2 linked regions of the Callithrix jacchus genome follow. The protein of the gene in region 2 purifies or fractionates together with the protein of the main gene of each other region. This does not show direct contact. Links are inferred from orthologs where the notes say so. Each region holds a gene or a part of one and is shown on either strand. Other genes may lie near its edges.

What was found.
Region 1: the proteins of SMC1A (region 2) and NIPBL purify together in Homo sapiens (affinity purification with mass spectrometry; 3 studies listed by BioGRID and IntAct, with this or other methods). This does not show direct contact. The link is inferred for Callithrix jacchus from reciprocal best matches to the Homo sapiens genes SMC1A and NIPBL.

The regions. Positions count from the first base shown.
Region 1 is NC_133503.1:168,714,924-168,718,996, forward strand, and holds the start of NIPBL (nipped-B-like protein), read right to left. Parts: upstream 2,848-4,073; 5' UTR 2,438-2,847; intron 1-2,437. UniProt on the Homo sapiens protein: Plays an important role in the loading of the cohesin complex on to DNA. Forms a heterodimeric complex (also known as cohesin loading complex) with MAU2/SCC4 which mediates the loading of the cohesin complex onto chromatin.
Region 2 is NC_133524.1:53,761,539-53,765,183, forward strand, and holds part of SMC1A (structural maintenance of chromosomes protein 1A), read right to left. Parts: intron 2,984-3,645; coding exon 2,901-2,983; intron 2,748-2,900; coding exon 2,540-2,747; intron 1-2,539. UniProt on the Homo sapiens protein: Involved in chromosome cohesion during cell cycle and in DNA repair. Central component of cohesin complex. The cohesin complex is required for the cohesion of sister chromatids after DNA replication.

The sequences.
Region 1 (4,073 bases), on a different chromosome or scaffold from region 2:
CAACAGAGGAGAAGCAGAATAGACTTATCCTCTTTAGGGAAACAAATTATTTTCTCCAACTAGGTTACTACTTTAAATTTTACAATATGAATTTTACACAATGTTTTCTCCTTTAAAAATGACGTATTTAATTGGCGTGAACCAAACAAAACATATTTTGAAATTTAAAGAAATTTGAATTGTAGATATAATGAAAGCTACCACACAACCTATATTACTTACAAATTACTTAATATGTAGAATTGGGAAAACAAATTGCGAAGAACTAATTCACGATAACTTAGTTCCAAAGTCTTAAGAAAAAATGAATCAGTCATATAAACCCAATATCTAACGCACTTATTCAAATATCTTCCTAAGACAACCTCTAAAAATAAGTTGCTTCAGTTCATGAAAACCAAGCAAGCAGAACTCCTCTTTTCATTATCTTTAGAAGAAATATGTTTATCCCTTGATATACATCTTAGTATTTTAATTAAATAAAAGTTGTAGAGATAATCACAGGAATATATGAGGGCCTTTGAAACATTTATATGAAGTCCTTATCACCCCCATCACCAAAAAAGCAAACCCTCTGCTTTCTTAAGATGTGTTCTCCCCGTCTGCATTCCCTCCCTGGCATGCCCCCCACTCGCACACCCCCCACCCGCAGTAGGCCTGAGGCCCCGTAGCAAACAGTGTCTAACAGGAGCAGGCAGCACAAAGACAGGAATGGGAGATTAGTGGGAGGGAGGGAGGCCGGGATTGGGGCTCAGCAGGAGCTTCAGGCTTTTTAAAATTCAAACTGCTCCCTGACCAATACAAATCACGGACACGCTACTGACTACTACACGGATTTATAGCATTAAAAACATGCCTAGTACGTGACAGCTATATTAACTTCATTCTTTTAAGCATTTATCCGTACATTTGCAGGAAGTGTGGAACAATTTATTGTAAGCAGGACGCTAAACTAAAAAATAACCTTCACAAAGTAACTCACTCTACAGTGACAATAATTTAATGACACAAAAAATTTGAACCAATGTAACATAAACTAGTAAAACAAGAGATTTCGCTGAGCAGTGCCACTTGATTTTAACCAGAGAAAGTTTTCCTTCAGCGAATATGAAACAAAGTATCAAAATAGTGTAACCCAGGTACATTTTCCTAGCAATTTGCCTGAGGAATTTTTAATTGATGTTTCCCCCTTATACCAACTTATATTACGAACGCCTCCATAAATAAGCTCGAAACACGTAACTTACTCATGAACTAGAACTTGTCAAGTTAGAACTGACATTTTTCTCCAGCATTTACAGATACATTTGACCTATTAAAATGACACCTCTCTCATTACACAGTCAAACATCATGGCACAAACAGCCAATGACAATCCTGGGACCTCAAGAAGAACTGCCCTGACATGAAAGGATGGCACCTTCTACAATTTTTCAACCTCCCAAAGATTTTAAGTGTAACTTAATTTTTTCTTCTTCCTTTTTTTTTTATTCTTAAAAGAAAATTGGTTTTACCCGTATCTCAGCACAATTCTGAGAACACTTAAAATTCTTTTTATGCTCCTACACCTTTTGGTCAGGAAGTACCTGAGTGTTTTATGTACAGTCGTTTAAAACTGCCCTTACATAACGCATACAAATAGAAAGTGGCAGAGTAAACCTGTCAAGTACTTTATACTCGTCTTTGAATAAAAAGTCCATGGGCAACAACACACTGTCAAACAAGATAAAAAGCTCTTGGAGGGGGAGATGTGCAGTGTCTACCATAGTATGGTTTTATGTATTAAATATTCATGCGTACGATTTAATTCTTCAAAAAAGAAAATGAGTCTTTATGAACTTTCCAACGTCCAAACAAGTTTTACAAAGAGAAAGAATTACCTCGGGATCCGTGTCTGAGTATTTACGTTTGTCTCACTAACTGAAACTACTTCCTCCCTTCATGGGGTCACAGGGGGAAGAAGGGGGGTTGTTTGTTTCACTGGGACGTTCCCCACTCCCGGACCGGGAAAGTTGTAAATATGGGGACGGTCAGGGCACATTTGCTGTTAGTTGTATTGTTTCCGCCTCCTCACTAGCTACAGCTCCTCTCCCGGGCGAGGCCTGTCACCGACCAGCAGTCGCTCCGCTCAGCCCGGAGCTCTCCTAATCCCCGAGCTCAAGTAGATTCCGCTGGCCCGCGGCCTGCACTCTCCGCCGGGCCTACGCCTCCCCGGCCGCCCGGCAGGAGCCCAGTCCCCGCCACCGGAGCCGGCCGGGAGAGGGTACAAAACCACCGCCACCCAAGGCGGCTGCCACCAGAGAGGAGCGAACTCTAGACTCGCCCGTGGAAGAGACCTGGGGCCGCTAAGGAAACGGCGGGGAGGGGAGCGAGGAGGAGAGACGCTGAGGACCTGGCGCCGCCGCCGCCGCCGCCGAAATAAAGAGCAGGAATTTACCTGGGCGAATCGGCGTCTGAATCCAAGGGGAGGCCGAGGCCGCTGTGGCGAGAGACTATAATCCGGGCCGGGAGTGGGGGTGGCTACGGCTCCTCTTCCGTCTCCTCAGTGCGGGGAACATGTAGAGCCGGGGGGAGACCAGCCGAGAAGACAAATCGTTGCTTCTTCTTCCTCCTCCTCCTCCTTCTCCCACATAGAAACACTCACAAACACCCGACCAGGGGCCCGAGCTACCGGGGGGGCATCGCCGCGGGCCCGGGAACCAATCCTCCTGTCGGCGGGGGCGTCCCTCCCTGCGGCTTGGTGGTGTCGGGTGAGTCGGTACCGACGGAGGGAGGGGGGGGAGGGTGGGGGGAAGGAGCCCTGTGTGTGTCTCTCTCTCGTTCCGTCTCTCCCTCTCAGAACAAAATGCCGACCGGAAGTGCAGCTGCAGGAATGACTCCCTCCGCCGGCGCCAAACACTAACAACCACCCCCTCTTCCCCACTCCACTTCCGCCACCGCCGCCGCCGCCGCCGCCGCCGCCACTGCCACTGCCACTTGGGCTCGCGTCCTCGGCAGTGCCGCGCCGGGGCCCAGCCGGGCGGCGGCGGCTCTCCTCTAAGCCCTTCTCCTCAGGGCGGCTGTGGATGTTGCCAGTATTGTCGATGCTTCAGAGCTACGTTTGCCCCGCGACACGGGCGGGTCGGCTCTTCTCGGTCTTTATTTTCCCGGAGGCCGATGGGAGCGAGGCCCGAGTTCGGCAGTGGTCGTGAGCGTGGGGGGCACTCAGGCACGGACGTGCTCGCAGGTCGCCGACGGCGGCGGCTGGAGGCCGCGCTGGCTGTCCCAGATCGTCGTTAGCTTAGGGAGCGGAGCTCTGGGCGGCCCCACAGAAGACGCTCGCCATTCGACGGCGATGGTGCCGGTTTTAAATGGTGTCCCTGCAGCCGGGTGGATGGATGGATCGTACGTACTCTTCTCCTTTTGAGGCCAGGATCTTACGCCCTTCTGCGTGTTAATTTCTGCGGAGTAAGAACGCAGCCCTTGGAGGTGAAGACGATTCTCGACTGGACTGAATTGGAATGGTGTTTGTGATACGTTTATTTCTGGAAATGCGCGGTGTCCGCTGCTCTTGATTTTTGTCGGCGGAGGTTTGGGTTCTTCGCTAACAGCAGGGATAAAGGCCTGTAGGCGACGCTGCGCTGGCGCGAAGCTGGGCTGCGGCGGCCCGACCCGGCGCCCGCCTCTAGGTGTGGGTGGAGCCGAGCACGCGGGGAGAACCACCGGCCCCTACTCGGCCACCGGCGACTGCGGGCGACCGGCGGGACTGCAGCCAGCTGATTTCAAACATCGTTTTCCTCTTTAGGTTTGGAACACTGAGGCGCTGGACAAGGCTGGAATACAAAATGTAATATACGTGCAGTACCGTGCCTGTTGTAGTTTTTAAATTGTAAAACAAGAAGTAACTCCGTCGTTCCACAGTTCTCTATTAAATTTGTGTAAATTAAAAGGGGGCTATTCTTCAGGTTAAAAAGTGCAGTAGGTAAGCGGATTTTTACTCAACCGGGACGAAATTCATGTTGTATGAATTGTATTATTTGTGTGTGTACCAGTGGGCTAAAAGTAATTAGGAAAACTTGCTTAGATCATTTCTT
Region 2 (3,645 bases):
ATGATATTGTCTCTTAGCACAATTATCCTAGATGCCTGAAAGTGTGAAGCTATGTTTGCTGAGAACACTCCTGGTTTTGGAAGCTAATGAGATTGAATAGAAGCCTGCAAACCTGAATGGCCTTGCCCTAAAAGACATATTCATGATATCATGGACTAACTATTAATTATGACTGAACGCAATTCTATTAACATGCCAGTATCTTTCTACCTTTTTTGTTTTTTTGTTTTGAGACAGTCTCACTCTTGCCCAGGCTGGAGTGCAGTGGCACAATCCCAGCTCACTGCAACCTCTGCCTCCTGGGTTCAAGCGATTCTCCTGCCTCAGACTCCCAAACAGCTGGGATTACAGGCGCCCGCCACCATGTCCAGCTAATATTTGTATTTTTAGTAGAGACAGGGGTTTGACCATGTTGGCAGGCTGGTCTCGAACTCCTGACCTCAGGTGATCTGCCCACCTTGGCCTCCCATAGTGCTTGGATTACAGGCATGAGCCACTGCTCCCTGCCTCTTTCTACATTACATGATTGTTCTGATGCAAGGGATCTGTGTTTGAAGACCAGAGTGGACTGTGGTATTATGAAATACATATTTAGTCTTCTACACCAGAGTTCCTGACACACAACTAAAACCCTTAGAATCTCGGAAATGAGCAGTGTCTTTTGCACATTAATGAGACGATTATGGCTGGAGGCCCATAGTCAGCTTCTAGATAGGGGCTGGTTACCAGAAAGACCAAGGCCTGATTAGATTTGGGACTCTTAGCTCCACCTCCACAACCTTCAGGAGGGGAGAGGGTCCTGAAGGTTGAACTGATCACTGTTGGCTGATAATTTGATCAATCATGACTACATAATGAAACACCTGTGTGAAGGTACCTGGAGGGTGGCTTGCCAGATTGGGCATTTGGAAGATTCACACCTCTTCTCTCATACCTTACCTTATGCATCCATCTGGCTGTTCTCTGTATCCTCTGTAATATCCTTCATAATAAATGGGTAAATGTAAGTAAAACATTTTCCTGAGCTCTGTGAGCTGCTCTAGTAAATTAATTGAACCCAGGCAGGGACTCTCAGGAACTGTAATTTATAGGTCAGTCAGAACCACAAGTCACAATGTGAGACTTGCAACTGGCATCTGAAATCTTGGACTGAGCCCCTAACCTGTGGGATCTGATGCTATCTCTAGATAAACAGTGTTAGAGTTGAACTGAATTATAGGTCACCCAGCTGGTGTCTGCTGGAGAATTGCTGGTGTGTGAGGAAAAACCCCCACACTTCTGGTGTCAGAAGTGAAGTGTTGTGCTGGTTGTGTGAGAGTAGAAAAAACACTTTGGTTTTTTTCCTGTCTCACAGAAGAAAACAGCTCCCATGCTATAAAGCAAAAGCCTATTCTGGCTCCCAAGCAATGACTTCAGGCAGTCGTGTCTGAATCCAAAATCATCTTTCTAAACCTCACATTTACCATTTTACACACTGCTGTCACCCAGGCACTATGCCAAATATCTTATATTTATTATTTCAAATTCTCTTAGGCCCTGAGCAAAATAAATCCGGCTGGGTGTGGCGGCTCACACCTGTAATCCTAGCACTTTGGGAGGTCAAGGCAGGCGGATCACTTGAGGTCAAGAGTTCAAAACCAGCCTGGCCAACATGGAGAAACCTCATCTCTACTAAAAATACAAAAAAATTATCTGGGCATGGTGGTGGGTACCTGTAATCCCAGCTACTTGGGAGGCTGAGGCAGGAGAATCACTTGAATCTGGGAGGTGGAGTATGCAGTGAGCCAAGACTACGCCACTGTACTCAGTCTAGGCAACAGAGTGAGACTCCATCTCAAAATAAATATCTTTTACCAGTTCCTTTCCTGCAGCCTCCAAAGCCAAGCCTGGTTCCCTAAGAACTATCACATAAGAGGGCAGAGACCGACTCTAATTCATACTTATCTCCCCAGCAGTGCCTAGAAGAGTTTTGTGGAACCCAACTAAATTGAACCCAAGTATGGCATAATATTCAGGGAACCTGGGAACTCAGGATTTGGTGAAAGAGGCCAAAAGATCAAGAGATCTGATAAAGCTCAGGGTGTCCCTAAAAGCTACTGGGCTGGTTAGTACATGCCAAGGGAGCCCATATAGAAGACCGCACACAGCTACCTCCTGGGAGAGTAATTCCAGCCCTGTGGCCCCATATGCTTCCAAAATCTTCCCTGGTTTTCCAATTCCTCTCCCAGAGGCATGGACACAGCAAAACAAACCCTTCAGAAAGATGCAATTGGTATGATGAAAAGAACATGAGTGCCTAGTATGACAGGCACTCATTTGAAAAATTAAAAAAAAAAAAATTAACATGAGCTTAGGAGAACATGTTGGGTCTGTACTACAGTTCTTTCATTTAGAAGTACTGCTTTTTTAAACCTCGCCAAGCCTCAATTCCCACAACAATAAAAATGGGACTGGCAACCCTGTCCTCAGAGGGCTGCTGGGAAAATCATGTGACAGTGAGTCTAAGCGCTCAGGAAATGAGTTCCCTCTCCGCTCTTACCACAGAGCCAGGGTAAAGGCGCTTGATGCTCTCCATTATCTCTGCCTTTCGCTGCTGGCGGCTGCTCTCCTGTCGGTCAATGCGAGCATCCCCTAGCTGCTCCATCACCTGGTTCAGTTCCTTATTGATTTCATCAATACGCCGCTTGGCCATCTCCACCTCCTCTGTCAGCTCCCCCTCTAGCTTCTTCTGCTCTTCTAGGGACTGCCTACAAAGTGAGGGCACATAGGAATTACTCCTGCTGGTGAGAAAACACTTCTGGCTCAGAGAGGCTCTGGAGGTCCTTTGTGAAGAGGGGCAGGACAGGCAGGGTCACAAGAACAGGCCTAGAAGTAAGGGGGACAGTTGCAGAGCTACATACTTGCTAGTGGTGATGTATTCTTCCAGTTTCTCAATCCGCTTCTGATTCTCTTCAATTTCCCGCAGCTTTTGCTTGATTTTGGCCTAGGAAACAAACATATCCCATCATCAGGGCTGCACAAGTTTATGCCAAGACCATGGGGACCCTGAGTAACACCCCTTATGTGACCACTCATCCAAGAGCCCAACAGTCCAGGACAATCTATCACTAATATAGGAGACCTACTAAAAAGTAGACATAGGAGCCAGGACCAGTGGCTCACTCCTGTAATCCCAGCACTTTGGGAGGCCAAGGTGGGCAGATCACGAGATCAGCCTGGCCAATATGGTAAAACCCTGTCTCTACTAAAAAAATACAAAAATTAGCCAGGTATGGCGGCACATGCCTATAGTCCCATCTCCTCAGGTTGAGGCAGGATAATCACTTGAACCCAGGAAGCAAAGGTTGTAGTCAGCTGAGATCAAGCCACTGCACTCCAGTCTGGGTGACAGAGCAAGACTCCATAATCAAAAAAAAAGCATAGAGGTTAACTGATGATGGGGGCCTCCCAGATCTCCAGAACCTCTCACAGGTGTTCTACCCAGCCCAGGCAACTTCCTCACCAACCATGGAGGCTCAAATCAAAATAAAGCTTCATAGGCCTGTCTGCACCTCCGTTTCCTTACCTGCAAAATATGGGTAATCTCCATTGCATAGAACATACATTAAGTGCTTAATATAGGGTCGCTATTAATATTAGTGACTA